4 linked regions of the Schizosaccharomyces pombe genome follow. The gene in region 1 interacts genetically with each later gene. Each region holds a gene or a part of one and is shown on either strand. Other genes may lie near its edges. The genes, in order: prm1, dni1, dni2 and fus1.

Evidence for each region.
Region 2: of prm1 (region 1) and dni1, changing one enhances a phenotype caused by changing the other (phenotypic enhancement), as found in Schizosaccharomyces pombe (one study listed by BioGRID).
Region 3: of prm1 (region 1) and dni2, changing one enhances a phenotype caused by changing the other (phenotypic enhancement), as found in Schizosaccharomyces pombe (one study listed by BioGRID).
Region 4: of prm1 (region 1) and fus1, changing one enhances a phenotype caused by changing the other (phenotypic enhancement), as found in Schizosaccharomyces pombe (one study listed by BioGRID).

Annotation. Positions count from the first base shown.
Region 1 is NC_003424.3:3,734,933-3,742,704, forward strand, and holds the start of prm1 (conjugation protein Prm1), read left to right. Parts: upstream 1-1,751; 5' UTR 1,752-2,022; coding exon 2,023-3,532; intron 3,533-3,572; coding exon 3,573-4,174; 3' UTR 4,175-4,229; coding exon of another isoform or gene 4,230-7,772. Other genes in the region: GMP synthase Gua2, read right to left, coding at 1-344, 545-585, 629-667; lys1 (aminoadipate-semialdehyde dehydrogenase), read right to left, coding at 4,230-7,772. UniProt on the Schizosaccharomyces pombe protein: Involved in cell fusion during mating by stabilizing the plasma membrane fusion event.
Region 2 is NC_003424.3:2,995,498-2,998,681, forward strand, and holds dni1 (tetraspan protein, claudin Dni1), read left to right. Parts: upstream 1-1,955; coding exon 1,956-2,660; downstream 2,661-3,184. Other genes in the region: rpe1 (ribulose phosphate 3-epimerase), read right to left, coding at 1-191, 237-273; rrg8 (protein Rgg8), read left to right, coding at 807-906, 957-1,561. UniProt on the Schizosaccharomyces pombe protein: Cell membrane protein which plays a relevant role in coordinating membrane organization and cell wall remodeling during mating.
Region 3 is NC_003423.3:1,182,817-1,185,825, forward strand, and holds dni2 (claudin-like protein Dni2), read left to right. Parts: upstream 1-1,610; coding exon 1,611-2,299; intron 2,300-2,450; coding exon 2,451-2,508; downstream 2,509-3,009. Other genes in the region: protein Trm734, read left to right, coding at 29-1,288; SPOM_SPBC4.02C (rRNA methyltransferase), read right to left, coding at 2,801-3,009.
Region 4 is NC_003424.3:4,812,583-4,819,809, forward strand, and holds fus1 (formin Fus1), read right to left. Parts: upstream 5,205-7,227; 5' UTR 4,762-5,204; coding exon 643-4,761; 3' UTR 529-642; downstream 1-528. Other genes in the region: CCR4-Not complex subunit Caf16, read left to right, coding at 1-483; eIF2 alpha kinase Hri1, read right to left, coding at 5,677-7,227. UniProt on the Schizosaccharomyces pombe protein: Required for cell fusion. It associates with the pre-zygotic projection tips in conjugating cells.

The sequences.
Region 1 (7,772 bases):
GCATGGAGTTAAAAAAGCTTTTGAAGACCTCGGTTTTGATTTCAGGTTCCATACTAACTGTAGCTGGACCGTACTCTCTCTCGATACCTGGTTCAACACAACGTCCATTCAACCATGCAATTTCTTGCATGCCATAACAAATACCGAGTACAGGAACACCAAGTTCAAAGACAGCAGGATCCACATGAGGTGCAATGTCATCGTAAACAGAATAGGGGCCGCCAGACAAAATAACACCAATAGGCTTAAATGGGAGAGCTTCTATTTTTTGAGTGCAAGGAAGTAACTCTGCATACACGTGAATCTCACGAAGACGTCTGGCAATCAAATGACTATACTGAGAGCTACAATTATGGTTAGTACAAACGAATCAGGAAGTCGAAAAGACCACTACTAGAGCCATTTTTATTTTTTATGAGATAAAAAATAGGCTCATTGAAGAATTGATCAGAGAAGAGATAAAAAATTCACAACTAATATATCACAAGCGCGAAACTCCTTCAATCACAATCAAATTCATTTTAATATAATTTTTAAAACGTACCCAAAGTCAAGAATTAAAATGGTATCAAAATATGAAGAAACCTTTGATATTCAGATCAGTAATGATGCTAACAAGCAAACTTACAGAAGTAGAGACTTCCCCGGGCACTTCAGTGGAACTCATGATGAGTAATTAAAATTAAGTCTCTTTTAATCTAATGAAGTTGGAATCTTTATGGCAACTGGCAATGACCACTGGTAACCCCTAAATGGCACAAAGTACTAGTATGGTGAAGTTGCTAAATCCTTGCGAAAAAAAATGTAGCCTTTTAAAGATAGACCAATGTAATGCGCATACACTATTGTTTATAACGAATTTTAGTGCAGCAATGTATCGCTCGTAATATTTCAGATATCTCCTTTTTCGATTTCTCCATATAATATAGGAGGTTTTAAGGTGAAAATTCACTTTTCGGATGAGTTATAAAGCACTCATATATGATATTTATGAAATTTTTTTATCCTCTTATTTTACTCTTTAGCTGTAGTCTTCGAATTGTATCATAGCCTTTCTCTGCCATAAATATAAGTTTTCAGAAAATAAAATGATAAAAAATATCAATTACTCATTTAACAAGTGGTAGCCATTGTTATAGCTTTTTTTTTATATCTTCTGGCCATGCTCAGTTTATTATTATTTTTTTTTTCATTGATCTGTGAACTTGTGTATGGTTGTTTCCATTTTATTACAATCCATAGAGCATGCAGGCAATTTCTTAAAAATAATCGAACTCCATTCAATTAAAAGAATGTTTCAGATTCTGTTCTATCAGAATAAATTGCTAGTTAGCTTATAAAATAAGTACAGTTATATTTTATTATTGACTGCTATAACTGCTATAACATGTATATGCAGTAACATTTTTAACATTAAATAATGTTGAAAAGTTTATAATATTTAAGAATCAATCAAATTTTGGTACATAATATTAAAACAATTTACTAAATAAAACATAAAAATAAAAAAAAAGCAAAATTATACTTATTTGCTTAATTAAAAAGATAAAATATAAATTTATTATCGAAGACTGCAATATAATAGCAGGTCTCGTGGCCCAATGGTTAAGGCGCTTGACTACGGATCAAGAGATTCCAGGTTCGACTCCTGGCGGGATCGATTTTTTGAAATCTAGAAATTCCTAGTTTATGTTTGTTTAAATGCAAAGCTGTATGAATATAGATATTATCGATGCCCCTTGTAATGCATTGACAACTACTTTAATTGTCTGTTATTCAACTATTACAGGATTCGCATATATATCTGATTTTTCTAAATACTATTATTAACAGTTCAACATGATTGTTGTTTTTATTTTATGTTTCATTTAATGCTGTTTCTAAGCCATTTACAGTTTCCACTTCTTTTATGGTAATTCTTTGTTTAATTCTGAGTTTCTTTGTTCTTTCGAAAATGTCTAAACAAAGAAATGCAAAACCGTCTAACACATTTATTACAAGGCAGAGATCGAACAGCCTGTAATGGCGTCTTCATATCTTAGTTTGGCAGCGAGGCTTTCACAGTGTTGGATATCACCCTGGTCATTATGCTGTCTCTATATTCTCATGCAGTTTTTCTTATTTACCAAGGATTTGAACACAAAAATAGGAGATTTTGTCAATGATGAACAAGCTACTTGTAACTACATACAAGAAAAAGTCGACATTCTCCTTGATAGCCCATCCTTAATTGCTAATGCGGCTGTTAGGGTTGCGAAAGATGGCATTCAAAGTACAGTTAAGATCATTCTTTCTGGAATATCAGACAGTCTCATTGCTGCTGAAAATGTGTTTATTTTCTTTATCGAGTTTAGCTATGGTACCTATCTTTGTCTTATTCAGCTGGCAATCGATGGCATCTTGGATGCAGTTGCTGATGTCGGTGAAGAGATAGGAACTGCGGTAAATGATACATTGCATGCGATTGCAGATGAAATTGAAGATACAGTCTCTTCTTTAAACGAAGTTTTCCAAAGTGCAGAAGATTCGCTGGAGAAAGTTGCCTCTTGGCTAGGGGAAGACATCAACCTGCCAAATGTCTCTATTCCTGAAATCCAGTCTCTCCGAAACTTCACTTTATCTTCTTCATATGATACAGAATTTGAGAAGTTAAAGGCTGGTGTTAATTTTGATAGTGCCATTAATGCAACAAAAGCGGCCATTAGCAAACCGTTTTCTTCTGCTCGGAATCTTATCCTTGAAAAAGTTAGCAACTATTCGTTTGACACTAGTATGGTCTCTTCTCCAAATAAAACACATGTAGTGGTTTGTTCGACTGATGATCTGACGGCTATTTCATCATTTATTCTAAGTTCTATATATAAGATCAGGAAAGTTGTCATCATTTCTTTGCTAATTATAATTGCGGGATTGTTTTTGATTTCTTCGATTTATGAAATTTGGAAATGGTGTAGAATTAGACACAAAGCATTTCTTCTGGACGAACACATAAGAAGTAATAAATTTGAAGATACCCGTGACCTAATTTCCTATATAGAGTCTCCTATTTCCTGGAACTTAAAATATTTTATTTCAGCTCTTCCTTTACCTTGTTTTTTAAGTGTGCAACTTCGATGGTTCATCACATATATATTTCATCCCCCTGCCGCAATGATTCTTTTTATTAGTTGCACTTCCTTTATTTCTGGCATTCTACAGCTGGTACTTCTCAACAATATTCGTGAAGATGGTTCAGTAATCAGTGCTCTAGCGCAAAATTCATTTCATAAAGTTGAATCTGCTTTAGCAAATGTTTCAGTAGCATGGGCTAATTCAACTAACCAAATTATTTTAAAAAATCAAGAAAACATCAATAACAATATGTTTGGTTCCATTCATAATACTACACTTTCTTTGAACTCTACGCTGAATACGTTTATGAATGAACTGAATTCGTCAATGACAAGTGCGTTTGGAGACACCTTTCTTGCAAGTACCGTACAAAATGTTATGAATTGCTTGCTTTACAGAAAAATTGAGAATTTTGAAGAAGGTTTGTTATACTAGTCTTTCAAATTTAATCTAACCAATAGTTTTGACTTGGGTTTATAACAAATCCCATATTGAATTACCTCTTTTACCTACTGATATTTTAAGCAAATCTATAGATAACCAAACTATCTATTCTTCTTTATATTCTTCACTAAATTCATCAAACAGCACAGTGAGTTTCTCTGGTATCTTTGATAGAGTTGAAAAGTCAGTAATAAGTGAGCTAAATTTTTCTTTCCTATTTTTTTTGCTTTGGTTATTGATTTGTGCATTCGGCTTAATTGGTGTTTTATCATCTTGGCTCAAATCATTATTCCTTAGCCTTCTAGATTTAGTTATTCCAAATCCAAAGGAGAACATTACTTTACCAGTACAATCGTTAGCTTTTCCTGTTACGAAGTCGTGTAGGCCTCCTCCTATTCCTCCCCGAGAATCGCACGTTTATGATTTCCAAAATTTTCAATATGAAGAAGATGACTGCATAGACTATAAAAGGTCCTTGGGTTTAATAAGCCTATCTAGTGACCTTGCTATTGACATTCCCATCTCACCGGCAATTATTTCAGATATACAATTTAACTCAATCACAACAGAAAGTGAAGAGACAACATATTTATTGAAAGAAAAACAGGATAGATATTAGAAGTCTACATAGATTCTAAATTTTTCATTTTGGATAATTTAACTGCTTAATAAATCTAATGAGTTGGAGCGCCTCCACGACCACCAGCCGATGCAAGCTTCTCCAAAGTAGCTTCATTTATTTTGACTTCAGGAAGCTTTTTACCTTCTAAAGTAGGTTTTGGCAAAAATCCAATAGCTACCAGATATGACAAATATAAGCCCATCTCATGTTCCAAAATTGCAGCTCCATTAGAAACATCCACGTTAGTCCAAGATGCATCACGTTTCAAGATTTCACGTGTGTTTGTATCATCTAATTCAGGAGCTTTTGTATTAGCAGGAAGATTATCTAACACAAAGTGAAGTAAGGGATACAAAGCACTATCATGAGACTCATTAATGACAAAGCGCTCCAAAGCAATACGCCAATTGACGTATTCGGAAAGCTTGGTATTGAAGCCAAAAGTGGAAAGAGTTCCTAGGAATTGGTTGAAACGAAGTCGGGGATGACTAGTTACGTGAGCAACAATTACTCCTTGTTCGGGATGGAAAGCACTGGCAGTTACCACGCGAGCAACGTGATCGGCAGGAACCATATTTACAGTATTATTGATGTTCGGGTACAGACCCAATTCAATGCACCCTTTGACCATTCGAACCAAAAAGTCGTCGGTATTAATAGCACCAGACTTGGAGTCGCCTAAAATGTATCCAGGACGCACAACAACACCACGAAGGCCACGTAATCCCGCTTGCCTTACTAAATATTCAGATACCCATTTGCTTTGTCCGTAACCGGTATGCAAATCTTTCGAAGAACCTTGCAAAGGATCGGATTCTGGGATTCCATTTCCTCCCTTTGAAGTAATTTCGTTCGAAAGGTTAACGTAATACTCAGTATCAACAGTTGATGTGGATGAAACAAAACTCAAGGATTTACCTTTTCCTAAAGAGCAAAGTTTTAATGCAGTAATTGTACCCATAACATTAGGACCTCTGAGTTTAGAATATGGATAAACCCAATGTACAAGGGCACCATTATGAATAACATAATCGACGACTTCAGTAAGCTTGTTCCATTTCCTTTCTTCTATACCCCAGTTTTCGAGAGCAAGATCACCATTGACAACAGAAATTTTTTGGGCCCATGATTCATCCCATACACCATACGCGGTACAACTGTCTTTAAGACGTTTTAGACCATGTTCTTCCGATGAGGCGCGGACTAAGGCAATGACTTTCAAGTTAGAGCTTCTGGTCATAAGGTCTCTTAATATAAAGACACCAAGGTAGCCGTTAGCACCAGTTAAGAAAACGGTTTTTGGCTCATCAATACCCAAGTCTTTAGAGGTTGGAAATTCTTTAGGAATTAAATCTACTAAATCAAGTGCATCTTTACCATATTCAATTTCAGGTTCTCTAGTCTCTTCTTTGCCTATATCCATCACGCTAATCATCTCACCCGATTTCATTCTTTCAATCTCTTTGGCCAAACCTTCAATAGTAGGTTCACTGAAAACTAAACCTAAAGGTACATTCACAGCAAATTTTTTGCGAAGTTCAAAAATTAAGCGAGTAGCTAAAATAGAATGTCCTCCAATATCAAAGAAACTTGCTTTTTTGTTGACATCAGTAGCGTGTGGAATGATACGCAACCAGATATCACGTATATCCCTTTCAGTGGCTGTAAGAGTTTCATCAACTCCATGTTTAGAATGTGAACGAGATGCGGCAGCAAGTTGTGATGTGTCTGGGAAAGGCAGAGCAGGTTTATCTATCTTTCCATTAGGATTGAGAGGCATTTTATGAAGGGGAACAATTACAGAAGGAATAGCATAACTAGGAAGTTTAGTCTTAAGATATTCCCGTATATCATGTATAAGCTTCCTGTACTTCTTCAAACCATTGACGACAATATCTTCCGACTCAGTAGCGCTATCAAAGTCATCTTTATTTAAACCTTGAGGTACAATGTATGCAACTAGCGTGGGTTCTTCATCCTTATCACGTCGAACAAGGGTAATATTTTCACGGACATTAGGATGACGAGAAAGATGGGTATTAATTTCACCTAACTCAATTCGGAAACCACGAATTTTAATTTGATCGTCGGCACGACCGCTACATTCTACATTACCAGTTGGGAGATAGCGGCCCAAGTCACCAGAACGATACATACGATCGCGTATTCCGAACCAATAAGGTTTCCAGGGCGCATTTTCTGGAGTTCGGTCTACAAACTTGGAGGGATCAGCAAACCAACTCTTTAAGAATTTTTTGCTAGTCAATTCATCATTTCCAAGGTAGCCCTCAGCCAATCCACCAGCACGAAGATATATTTCACCAACTTCTCCGATACCGCATATCTTGTTAGTATCAAAACGATTGATCACCAAAAGTTGGACATTCTTCATGCCACGTCCGGCTGGAATGACATCTTTTTGCGATTCCAAAAATGTTTGATCTTGAGACCGCGCAGGTACTACAAAGTACGAAACTGAACGCTGAGTCTCTGTCGTTCCATACATGTTAACAACGTTAACGTTGTTAGCAAGGACTTGTAAGCGAAGACAATCACGTTTCGTCAAAATATCACCTACAAAAAATGCATGGTGTAATGAAGGAATTGGCTCATCAGCCTGAGCAGCTAACAGTTGACCCATAGCTGGGGTGAGATGAGTTACAGTAACCTTATACTTGTTAGCCCATTGGGCTAATTGACCAGGGGTGCCAATGTCTTCAGCAGTGGGTACGATTAAGGATGCGCCAAGGAAAAGTGGTGTGAAAATATCTCTTTGAATAGGATCATGAGCAATTCCACTTAACATCGTAAACCGGTCTGATTCAGATAAATTAAATTCCTGAGCCATCCAATCAAAATAGTAAGCAAGACTGAAATGTCTACCTTTTACACCTTTAGGAATTCCTTCACTTCCGCTAGTAAAACTAAGTGTGGGAGTACTATCAGGGCCTACAACAACGCCAGTTTGTTCGGACTTCAAGTGTAAAACGTGTTGCAAGATATCGTCAGCTCCTTTTGAGACTGATCCTCCCGTTAAAGAACCATCTTTAGCAAGTTTTAAAGCTGGTACATAAGTTTTTAGTTCAAGGCTTTTCTCAACATACTCTACGACTGTGGGAGACAAAACACCTGCATCTTCCAAAACAACTAAGGCTCTGGGCTTAGCAACGCTCAGATATATAATCTGACGAGCAGGTGGATATGCTGGATCGATAACTGAGAATGTGGCACCAGCTTTAAGTACACCCATGACCGCGACAACTAAATCCACACCTCGATAAGCATAAACCATAACTACATCACCCCTCTCAATTCCATTCTTTACGAGATGGTGAGCCAGGATGTTAGAAGACTCGTCGATTTGTCGATACGTGTAACTAGTGACAGGAGCATCAATTGTGACCGAAGGAGTGACTACTATGCATTCTCTATCAGGGAATTTAGCAGCGTTGGATGCGAAAATATCTTGAATGGCTCCACGATAACCACTCCAATCAAGATCAACAGTTGGATCTGGAAGAACATTCATTTGGGTAGGTGTCATTAGGTCCAGAGCACCGATAGGACCTGTAACATCTTTGGAAGCTGAAACCAC
Region 2 (3,184 bases), 740 kb from region 1:
GGGTTCAATAACCATCAAATGACAATCGAAAAAGGCCTCCTCCTTGGTGTAATGGTTACGCATAGCTTTCACAACAATGGGTCCGATGGTCAGGTTAGGAACAAACTGTGCGTCCATAACATCTACGTGTAACCAATCGCTACCATATTTAAGCATACGGCCAACCTCTTTTTCAAGATTGGCAAAGTCGCCTAACGTGTGTTAATACTTGAATCAAACACTCAAAATATTCGTACCTGCTAACAAAGACGGAGCAATTTTTGCCTGTACCATTTTTGAGTCCTAAATACAAAATTTTTTGAGTCCTTGAGGAAGAGTATTTGGTATATAGTAAAGTGAGGTTTCGGTGGAGCTGATGTAAAGTTAATTTTATCAGTACTATCAAGTGACCGCTAAATACTCCTCATTATAAGTGTATTTGAAGGTTAAATGTGATATGTTTATGAAAAATAGAAAAGTTTATATGTCGGTAAGCAGCATGAAACAGTCGTACTGTACAAATCGGTCAATAGGTGAAATGCCTAATAAAAAATAAGACTTATAATATTTATGATTTTAAGCTTCTGAAATTTTAATTAGATTGTCTTTCATAGTAAATAGGTCTCAATAGTTGAACTCGGCTTACCATACTAATTCTGACCAAAAAGTATGATGCTTATTTTTTATATGCAACGCTTCACAGCTTAGTAAGAAAAAGTATATCACAAGTCATCCTACAACCTAATTTAGAAGTCAAATTGGTTAGGATTGGGGTGGGGAGTTTATTTCTGATCCATACTATTTACTACATCTGCAAAGTATTCACAATGACAATAAAAAAAATTATTTCGAAAAATGATCCTTTGATAAGCATCCTAAGCTCTCCTTTAAGACAAGACTTGGCAACGCACTTTTTATTTCCCAGAGGTAATCTTCTTTTTTAGTTAGTTTTAATGTTCGGCTTACTGACAATATAGAGCTATTAGCGAAGTTTCCTGCAAGGAAGGATACAAATCCTCGAAAATTTTGTTTGTTGCCATTAGAAGGAAAAAACCATTTACATAATAAACATGTTTCTTTATACTGCTTATTATCGGATAGATACTTGCAACCGCCGTCAAAGCGCATTTTCAAGCGCTGGAACATGGAATTAAATAATTTGAATTGTCCTGATATAAAAAGATACATACTTGAGTCATTACAGGACTCTTTGTTAAAAGAAATATCCTCATTAAAAGAAACTTCAACTCAGAATCATTTACATTGTAATGATATTAAAATTTTACAAGATTGTCTAAGGAGACCTAACATTTCGAATGGTGGCATATGGGTGCAATGGAATTTAGAAGAAATTAATCAATTGAAAAAGTTTCTCTCTTTTAGAAAACTCTATCCTCGTCAATCGTTTATATCGTTGTTACAAATACTGCCCGAGCCCTTTTTAAAATCGCAATTGAGTCATACGCTACCAGTGGGATCTAAATATTTTTTTGTTCCTTGCGACAAGAAACATCATACCTTGGGGCTTTTGCTATGGAAACTTTTTTTTCTCAAAGATATGCCCGCTGCGTATTCCTCATAGAGTCGAATGACCATTGACGAACTCTTTGTTCTCGGGAACAAAGAAAACACGAAGACAATGAAAAAAGCAGATTTTTGAAAGAAAGCTTAGAAATATATTATGTCATTAATAATTTTTTTGTTTACTTTAAAACCTGGCTTGGATCTTCCTTGTTCGTCTTTTCAAGCTACTTCCCTTCATAGCATCGCAAAAAGCCATTTGAGATAATTCTGTTGTGATTAAATCTCCTTAATTTTACTTCAGGATTTGCCTATATTTTTGCTTACTGAAGGCTTTCACGAACGTCAAATAATTTACCTTTTTTTAAAAAACATTCAACCTATTCATTCAAAAAAACCAGTTGACGAAAAGAGTTTTTGTATCAAGGACAAACAAACATCTACATTTAATCACCATGCTGTTTCTTCATTCAGTTGTACAAGGAACTGGAACTCTTTGCACATTAGCTGCATGGATTTTACTTGCACTAGTAATGACAGGTTGCCAATCTAGTACCACCTCGAAATTCCAGTTGTTTTCTCTTGCAACTAACGTAGCCCAAATTAACGTTGGGTATTTTAACATGTGTGTACTTTCTGCTAATGCGACGCTGATCTGCAAACCTCAATTTACTGGTTGTCCTGGGTTGACTTCCATTAGCTTAACGGATGTAAGGTCTAAATTTCTAATCAATGAAGTTCACCCTTGGATGATTGTCTTTTCATTTTGCGTATGCGGTGTTTCATTTCTTATGGGTGTTGTTTCCAGCCTTCCCTTAATAGGGCGTTTGGAATTCCTGAGAAACATTCGTATAAGCCTTTCTTTTTTCTCCTTTTTTAGTATACTAGTAACTGCTTTGTTTGCTCACGTTGCTGTCTCCTCTTTTGTGATGGCTGTTGGAAATGGAACACAAAATCGAGTTACTGCATCTCTAGGCAAAAAGGCTATGATCTTTTTATGGTGTTCTATGGGACTTGTGACATTAACAGGTATCACGGATTCTATTATTCTTTTGGTTACTTCAAGAACCAAGAAGATTCGTAAGACGATACTGGAAAAAAGCAAAGTCCTTACCCCTAGTTCATCCTTTTCTAGCAAATCCTCAACAACAAAGTATTAAATTATGCGCCTCAACTATTATTGTTTTGAGAAGATATGACCTTTCTCACCTTGTTATATTACATTATGGCAACTGTATTCATCTGTACTTGTTTTTTGTTTTTACGTTTTTTCACGTTCCGCTTTTTTTATGATTTTCTTAACGCCTCTTTTTACGATTAATCTCATCTTGGTTTATTTATGTATATGTTTTCACACTGCACTTTACTTCATTTCTCTTTTGCACTCATTTCTACTTACCGCACTTGAAACTTTCATGTCAAAAGCTCATATATTCAAGTCAAGATAAAGCTGTTTAATATTTCATTATCAATGACTAATATCGATTAAAACAATCATATACATTCTCTTTCCATAGTCTTTTTATTTAGAACCTATATACATACGCATCTTTACAAATTATACATTCTTCAATTGATTTTTTGCATAAATCTGATCAACTGTATACTTCTGTAACAGTTTTTTCGTATCTTACAATCGTAGCTGATAGAAAGAAATTAAAAGAGATATTAAATGATTTCTGCC
Region 3 (3,009 bases), on another chromosome or scaffold:
GGTTCATGGTTCAGCTAACATATGCTAGGGTTTGTGTAAAAAATTAAAAAATGGAAAGGAAAATCAATGGGTTTGGGGTTTTCATGCATCAAATTTTTTTTTAAGGGATGAGACAAATGAAACTAATGTTTTCTTTATTGATTGTGGAGGTAGTCATCGTCCATGGGCTTTTTCAATGGAGATGGACATTCAAAGTTTTGCATCTTATAGAGCAAATCAACTTTATATTTATAGCACTGCTTTAAATCTTTTGCAAAGAAATTCTGTATTACAAAATGGTTTGCATGGGCGTGAGATTCGAGCAATGGATTTCAATCCTTCAGGGGATCTTTTATTATCAGGATCTGAAGATACTAAAGTAACCCTGCTTGAGTTTCAGAGTAATGGAAACATAATTCCTCTGAATTCTGTCAAGTTTCATAATTCAGGAATCCAATCGCTGACCTGGTTTAGCGATGATATTTTATTTTCCACTGGTGGTCTTGAAGAGTTAAATGTTTATAGGCTAATACAAAAGCCAGAGGCATATCTGAAACGGATCGTTCATGAAAAACTCTGCAAACCAAATAAAAGTAACAAGACTTACGATGGGGATCTTCGAATAACTGACATTTCTGTTGTAAAGGCAACCCATCTGGGTGAAAGAGTGTTATGGATTAATACTGTACAGTCCGATTCGACTATCAAAGCATTCACTTATAACGTAGATACGAAGCAGCTAAATTGTATAAAAAGTTGGAAATATAAGACAGTTTGTTTGGTTTTTGCCGAGGCTGTTATTTTCGGGTCTCATTTATTGTTGGTGGTTGCTTCGACTGATGGTAATGTTGCTATTTGGAACACATTTTGGAGGGATCCTCAAATTGAGCCATTAATAATTTGGATAAAAACAGTGCATCAATTTTGTGTTAAGTCATTAAATATTAGCAGGGATCAAGATGTGTTAACGATTTCTACGGGTGGTGATGATGGTGCAATTTCTCGATCTATACTTTTGTTAGAACAAATAAGTGAAAATTCAGTAGTAGTCAATTCTTTACATAACTACTTTTTTGCTGAAGCTCATGCTTCCAGTGTTACAGGTGTTTTATCAATTACCAAAGAGCTTTTGCTGAGTGTATCCATTGACCAAAGGATATTACTATGGAAAGTCGAGGGTGATTCATTGAAACCGATCCTGGAAAGATATACTCACGTAGCTGATGTGGGTGGCATGATCCGAAATAATGATTTTTTGATAATTTACGGAATTGGTTGCGAAGTTTTTAGACTGGGTTCTTTACGATGATTATTTGCTCAATAATGTCTACTACTCGCCTATTCATTCAGTTTACTCTTATACACTTCAAGGGACCTATCTTTTCATTTATCATGACGATGGTTTAAAAATAATAAATAATTGATTTGATTGAAAGGCGGCACAGCATTTATCGGTATTAAGTATGTGTAGTACTCATAATTTCTTTGTCCTCGAAGACAAAGAAACATAACAGTTACGTGTCAAAAATTTCTTTGTTTCAAAGTATTATAATAGACTTACATTCCATAATAGTTCTTCTATCCCTAAACTAATTTTGCTAAAGTAAACAATTTAAAATTACGGTTTAAGAATGGAAAGAGGAACTAGTAAATTCAGCTGGATTGGACTTGTTGCAAGAATATACAACTATATTCCTCATCCTAGTATTTTTTCGAATGCTATTTTAGGAATTGCATGGCTTTTTTTAATATTTTTATGTTGCAGCTGCTTAACGAAATCATCTATTTTTGCGAGATTACTAAGAGTAAAGAATGAAACAACCACCGTAGACGTCGGTTTCTTTGGAGTGTGTGATCAAGCTATTAATTCAACGTCTCGAGTTTGCCATGAGCTTCGAAATTGGGATCAAACAACTGGTGGTTTAGCATATGAAACTTCGAGATTTGCGTGGCTTCAAGTTCATCCTGTTCTCCTCGCGATTGTTGTTGTATTTTCAACACTATCCATTGTTTTGACTATTTTAAAGTACTTGGCTCCTGCATACATACGCCAATGGTCAATAAGTTGTTTAACTACTAGTACAGCCGCCTGTTTGCTTTTAGCACTCCAAATGGCTTTAGCTCATATTTCGGCTAATTCATATGCTGTAGGAATGAATTTAACTGGGAAAGCTACAGCAAAATTTGGGGTAGCTGCAGCAGTTTTTGGGTGGATTTCCAGTGGATTCTTTTTGCTATTTTCGCTAATACATTTGGGACTTTGGACTATTGAACGAAACAAGCAAAAGTTATTTGAAGAAACATCTCTCTCATTTAGCTTGTAATTATTACGAAAAGAATGTTGGACGACATTGAAATGACTACTATTAAGTAAAATCGCACTTATGATACTCTTTAAACGTATATGACAGATACCCTTTTGACTTTTTTAAAACTATAACTAAATTTCATTTAATTAACACATAAAACAGCATTACTACTAAATTAAGATTAATTGAAACACAATACTTCATTTGCAAAGACTATTAAACAAACATAAATAAGATTTTGTAAACCATATTACTAATTTGAGCAAAAATGTATTGAGAATTAGCTTTTAATGAATCATAAACCATTAAATATAAATTAACTAATGTTGAAAACAGACAATCTAAAATTGCAAATGTTACGAACCAAACGATCAGATGTATATGCCTAAGATTGGTAATCTAATTATAATATATTGAAAGTGGGAGACTTAAATAAAAAAAAGAGAAAAGAAAAGAAAAGTAGCATAACTTAATAAAGGATATTTTTGAAAAGGGATGGAAAATACTCAACTTTACTTGCGTTTTGTTGGACCAGTCATAGGAGAAGCACGACCAGCAGTCAAATCATCATCGGAATATTTCAACGACGATACATAAGGTCGTTTGTATCGAATGTCATATGTACATTCTTTTCTGATATTTGTACGAAGAATCCATCGCTCGGAAGGTGCTAATGTCTTCCACTGCTGAGCTCCAATATCTCCAATCTCCGATTTTACAA
Region 4 (7,227 bases), 1.1 Mb from region 1:
GATCTTCGTTGGCGAATGCATGCAGTGTCCGATGGTGAAAGACGACGTGTTCAACTATGTATGGGACTTCTGCGTCCATTTGAAGTACTTTTACTTGATGAAGTAACTGTAGATTTGGATGTTCTTGCCCGGGCAGATTTGTTAAATTTTTTGCAAGAGGAAACGGAAGTAAGGAATGCTACTATTGTTTATGCAACACATATATTTGATGGTTTAGCTGAGTGGCCAACTCACTTGGTCCATCTCAGTCTTGGGCGTATCGTGGATTATGGACCAATATCCAAGTTTGGTGCTCTGATGACAAGGTCCTCTACGGGAAATAGCGCCCTTCTAGAGACATGTTTGGAATGGCTCAAAGAAGACAAAAAAAATAGGGGAACTCGAGAAGAGGAAAAGCGTAGTACCTGGGACGACGTTCAAGAATCATTAAAAGTTGGAACTGATGTATTTACTGATTACTTTAAGATTTCCCGAGCAAAATAGATTACTAGAAAAGTTATCCTTTAGATGCTTAATTCTATCTTTAACAAGCATTACAGTCTTACTAGAATTAATAATTATACCTTTTATTAATTATAATTTCATTATAATTTGTTTAAGTCATTTAATTGTCATTAAAAGTCATTAACATTTCAAACATCATTATCTCTTAAGTTCATTGTTATTCTCCAGCTGCTTAAGCATGCATTCAGCTTTAAGGACGACTGTTTGTCTCTTTTTATTTGAGCCTTCTAGAGTTTGTTTATCATTTTCATAATTCATTAGAGTTTCGATTGTTTGTTTCGATGATTCAGTGCAATCGGTTTTGTTGCTTAAAGAATCATCACACAAACCTTTCTGTAGCTGAGATATTAAATTTTCCATTGTTGCTGAAACTTCCTCATTCTTTGAAGAACCACTATTTTCTGCATTATTGCTTTTAACAGATGCTTTTAAAGCTTGTAGTCTTAGAAAAGCAAGTTCTTCTTCCTTCTCCATCTTCTGATTTACAGTGCTAGCCTTTTTGTACTCCAGTATTATTTCGTTTAAATTATTGAAAAACCTAGCACTCGATGTAGGTTCATCTGGATTTTCACCATACATTAAGAGAGTTGTTTTAAGGGTTGTTTTTAGTTCAGTAATATCAGAATTAAGTTCATCCACCATTGATTTTCCTGATGGAATCCATGGAACCATGACTTCACAGATATGGTCATCAGGATGAAGAGCTTTATGATTCGAAAAAATGCCTTCATTGCTAAAGTCCTTTTCAACATTTTTCATCCGTTCACAAATATCATTACAATCCTGCTCCAACTGCTCCAAATTAAATCTGGAAATCTCGGGAATGGCTTTCAAATCCACGAGAAAAGCTTCCAATTGTGGAAAGTGAGTCCGAACTATTTTTTCAATAGTATGAAGAAGTGTTAATCCTGTTTTGTCATTTTTAATCATGGAAGCTCTTAGTAAACTTTCCAATCGATACCCTTTAGCTCGACGGGGTGCATCATTCATAAAATTGCCAATATGAAGGACCAAATTTAAAAAATACTTGAAATGCAAACTAGATTTCAACTCTAAAGAAGCACAATGAAGTTTCCTTATTTGTCTTCTAAAATCCCTAAAGTTGTTGGCCAGAAACGATTTGATTTTTAAAGCTGCCATTCTTTTTTCGTAATAAGTATCAATGTCAACAACAATTAACGTATAAATTTGATCGAAACGAGACAATTCTAAAAGCTTTTCACTTACTTCCATTACCTCTTCGTTTCGAGATGACATATAAGGCTTTAGTTGCTTTTTAAGACCTTCTTGTCGAAAAAACTTTCGGTCATTAAAAAAATCGACTAGTTCCATGATATCATGGTCGCAATGAAAAAATTTTTTGGCAATTTCAATTGGTGTCAAGGAATTGAATCTATGCAAACGAATACTAACCATTTGCTGTAAATCAACTGGCATAAATCCGGTATATTCCTTAACTTTTTTATTGGAAACTGTTACTTCTCTCAATGGATAACAATCTTCGAGTTGCTTAAAAATCCCTTCCGCAGTAAGTTTTAAAGTTAATAAATAAGGATCTGCAACTACAATATTCCATAGAGTTTTTTCGAAAGGAACTTCGAGGCGTTTCCAATGAAGCTGCTTTAGCCGTTTAGAAGGATTGCATAGCTCACCAGGAATTTTGCTTGCATACACTTCAGACTCTGAACCTGAACAGAATTTAAATATGTCATCGATTGAAATATTTTCGGGAATAATTATCGTCTTCCGAAAAATTTGTGAATCATTTTTTTCAAATTTCTGGAGAGAAGACATTGCAGTTGGTAAAGGAGGTGCAGGAGGTGGTAATGGTGCAGGAGGTGGAGCTTTGAATGGATTCCCATCAATAACTTCTTTGATTCTCATATTTTCTATTTTAGAAAACCTCTTGGTATCAGTTATGGAAAATCGGCCATAGTACGACTTTCGATAGTCTAAGGGAAGATCACTAACAACATCAATCCTTTTTGGATTAAAAACCTTGTGTTTTGAAGTTTCCATTTTTTCTGCTAAGTTAGCACTTTTTATTTGTGTTCCTGGCATACTCAGATGAACCTCAAAAGAATGCGTTGAAACAGCGGAAGATGGCTCGGATTTTAAAGTGATTGAGTTTGCTTTAGCTAGATCTAATTTGCAAAGTTTTAATTTTTCATCCTGATTTGGTTGAAAAAGCAGTTTAGGTTTTATCCTTGGTGAAGCAAAAGCACTAACGCTAGAGGTAGTGTTCACGGGTTGAACCCAATCTCTGTTTCCATTTCCATTCACATTGTTTTTAGAAATTAAATACTCTTGGTCACGATCTTGCAGTTTACTACTTGATCGGTTCAATAATCGAAGAATTTTGGTATCTTCGGAAATGTATGAATCGCGCGTACGCGTCAGTAAGTGCTTTAGTTTACTAAAAATTTTTTCGGCTGAAAAGGAAGATTGAGGATCAAACTCTGATGGAAACAACAAACACAAACAATCAAAGATATTTTTCAGATCGGTTTCATACTTCGAACTTTCCACATACTTTCTTTCGGAATTCTCATATCCTTGATTTGTAGTGTTATTAGTATCACCAGTAGCATAAAGTTCTGATTTGGAGACGCTGTATTCATTATCATCAGTATTATCATATGATGCGACAACTTTTTTGCTATTGGTAGTACCGTAGCCAGACGTAACACTTGAGTACCCCGGAGCGTTGTTCCCTTGCTCGTTTCCAATCTTTAATTCCTTATAAAAGCAATCAATATCATTATTTGAATTACCATTCCCTTTATCAGCTTGTAAAGTAAGCACTAAACAATCAAGTAACTTTATAATACGGACGGGGTTGTTGTGCTCTTTCAAAAGTTTTAAAAAATTTTTAATATGCTCTTTAACCATAAATTCGAAATTTGCATCATTAAACATGTTTGTGTTTAAAAGGGATTGATGAGCAGCAGAATTTGGAGTGTGCTTTAAAAAATGTTTCTCATTAGCAGTGTCTAATGATACGAGTTTCACGCATTTCTCGAGTTGTTTTAATACTCCTTCATCATTTATTTTTTTTAGAATGAGTAAAATGCTTTTGAAATTCCCTATTCTCAAGGATTCCTTGAACTGGAGTAAAGCAGTTTTAGATGGGATATTTTCAAGAAATGCATTTATAAGAAGCATTTGTGAAATGATATACTCAATAGTTATTTTATCATGTAAGGCCGCTTCTTCTAGTACTTTCTTTTCTTCAGTAACAACTTTCTCTAAGAGTGTTCTTTTCCATTGAGAAAGCCATAAATCAAAGACGTTCATAGACTCGACTTTCAAATTTGCAAAGTTTTTCATACATTTCATAATTGCGTTGATTCCGTTCGGCTTTTCTGAGTAACAAAGAAAAGTAAGTAATTCGGCAGCTAGTTTCCTTACTAGTAATTTAGTTGACAGGAGGCAGTGAACAACTGAATCGATAGGATACTTATTACTCAGATAGAAATCAGTCCCAATCTTCTGTCCTATAATACACCTCATGCTTTTGAGGATTGCAATTTCTAAAGTTATGTCAGGACTTTTTAGATGTTTCTTCTCATGAATTGCCTGCAATATTTTAGCAAGTACTATGTGTCCACCCATCAAAAGAAAATATCGAACCCAGGTAACTGATTCGGTTCTCAATGCAACCGCCAAAGATTCCACGTACTTGAGCTTCAACGGTGTACAGCTTAACTTTTCAATATAGGAAATGACGGATGCCTTGACATTTAGTTCAGAATCGTTTGATGATATTTTTAAAAATTTATCGTTTCTCGATAAATAGCCAGTGATGAAAGACCATTTGTTTTCTTGAGAGAGTGTAACGTTCGCGTCCCAATGAAACTGCTCACCAGAATCAGATTTTTCTTCGCGTAATCTTTTTAAAACATCATCGAATAATTCATTCACTAAATTCGGGTCATCCGGACATAGAAGCGCTTCGCCTGGTACATATGAATCGGTAAATCCAACAGGTCTTTTTGATAAATTGTTGCAATGAATATCCGGAATAGTGTTTTTTTTGTTTTCAATACTCACAAATAGTGAAGAGTAATCATTTGTAATACGAAGGTCTGTTTTCTTTACGCTTTGGTTTTTTAATCTGCTTCGCGATAATGCTTTTGCTTCGACTTTTTCATATGGGTCAGTGTGTAAATCAATGTTTGTTAGAGACCCAAACGATGAAATTTCTTTAACAATTGGTTTAGAGATTCTGATACCTTTAAAACTAGCCGTCATCATTAACAAGCAATAGCTAAAAAAGGTGAAACCATCAATAATATGTCCTATAATTACAGAAACAAGGTTTTTTGCTCGTAAACAATCCTTTTTGAGTTCAGATATAAGAAGTAAGGTAAAAGACTTACTAGAAAATTACTGAGTATTTAGAACATAACTTTCTTTGTTCGGTTTAACCGACGTAATATGATTCAAAGCAACAATTACATATGCAACGATCCATTTTATTGTACCCGTTAAAGAACAAAGAAATACTAACTGTGTTCGAAAACTATTTAGTTTTCCGATAAGTTCAAGCTCAAACACAAACGTAATTGGAAAGCGACAACTTGAAAGTAGTCCATATCAGAATTAACTGAATAATGCTGGAAATAAGTTTAGTGTCCATTCTAGTTTATATTTATTAATAAATGTTTTTTAAAAGACATTGAGAGGGTGGCGTACATACTGTGTCTTTAGAATAAGGCGCCTAATGAAGTGCTAGTTTACTATCACGCTAAAATTAAACAATCGCTTCTGCTGTTTAATTTATAGCTTGATTGATATTTGTTTTCCATAAATGAAAGACAGTTTGATTAAAAAGGATAAACATTTTGAGTACAAGATCAAGATCAAGAAAACTTAAAAAAATCAATCAGACTGTTGAACTGAAAACTAGCAACGAAAAAATGTACAAGATGAACTTTCAATTTAATATATTAAAATAAGAAAAATCTTTAATGCAGACTACTCTTTCGCACCTAAAAGCTCCAAAAACCATTCCAAGAGCATGGAAGATAACTCACTATAAACAAATCATAACAGTGGATAAACATAAAACGTAGGAAATATAAACATAAAATAACATAAACAACTAAATCTTGTCAAAAGCGAATTGTAAAAACAATTGAAGCAGTCCAAAGTAGTTCGTAACTAATACTAACAGTCGTAATTGGGGTTTAAAACTCGAAGTATGTTTAGTTCTGCTTTCAAATTGTTATTTCGTTTCTCAGCATCTTCCAATAAAGCTTGATATACATGAAGCTCATTGACTACCAAATCATGAAATAGATTGCTAGTCAAAAGTTGAGCAGCAGTTGGGCGCTTATTCGAAGAGCTGAGCATTGACCGGATTAAGCTAGCTTCCTCTGGCATGGAATCCAAGAAATCATGGGGGAAAATGCCCTTTTTTAAATTGGCGATAGCTGATGCCCTTTCCATGCGCGTGTTAAAAGGATACAGTAATTCAAAAAAGAGTATGCCCAATGCATATATGTCAGTAGACGAGTTGTTATTCATTACCGATCGCATGTGTTTTGAGAAAAGTTCAGGAGCTGCATACGTACTTGTACCGACAAAAGAAGATTCAGCTGAGGAGTTGGTCCCCTCTTCCAAATTATCTGACTGAGAAAGAACAAGACCGAAATCGCCTATCTTGGGCACAACACATAAAGTTCTTTGGTTCACTGGTTCGTACGCATTGCTAACCTCAACATTATCTTCATCAGAAAAATTAGGTAGACACACAGAGCAAGGCTCAGAATGTACACCACTAGATAGAAAAATATTTCGAGGTTTCAAATCACGATGGACTAAATGCATAGCATCGTGAAGATACAAAACGCCCTCTAAAATCCTTGCAAACAGTAAAATATAACAGTTACGTAGGCCTTTAGACATTACACCGTGAATATGCTTATTTCGTCTGTTTATGTGTTTCTCGAGTGTTTCTTCGCAAAGAGCCATTTGTATGTACAAACATAAGGGCTGTTGATCAAAGCTGGGAATATTGGAACATTCATCTTCCTCTCTTTCGGATAGAAATGAATCCATAAGTAACATTTCAGAAGCTGACTTCGTTGGCGCCAACTTTCCTAATGTGTCGACTTGTGATGTTGTTGAAGAACAATCATGTGACTCGGCATAATCCTGATCGGCCTCTTTCTTGAAAAGATCAGTCAAGTTGCAAGTCGAATTTTTGGTAGAGTAACAAGGAGTTAAATCATCTGCAACCGAGTCCTCTTGGAATAGTATCTGAACTGATGAAGGATAAGTATGCTGAAGTAACCCAGTATCCATATCAAACATAAAATTATCTATATCTGCTGATTGAGATAATGTCTCATCTGCCGAAGCTAAAGGTTCTTCTTCGATTTGCTTTTCAGATGACGGTAAGAGCTCGACCCAACTAGAAAAGAATCTTATCACATTGGGATGGTTTAATCTTGCCAAGGTCCTAGATTCACGGAATATGTTAGAAGAAGTGGAGAAAGAACGTAACCGAAGTGGAATTTTTTTTAAAGCATATTCAACTCCATCGAATTTATTTCGAGCTTTATACACTGAACCATAACCGCCTTTACCAAGTAACTCAAGTTCTTCAAAATCACTTGCATATCTTGACCTTTGGACTGTGGGAAAGCTATCAAAGTTGCTAAAAGACAAGTTACCGGTTCCATCTTTGTGCTCACAAAAATCAGCAAACGTGGA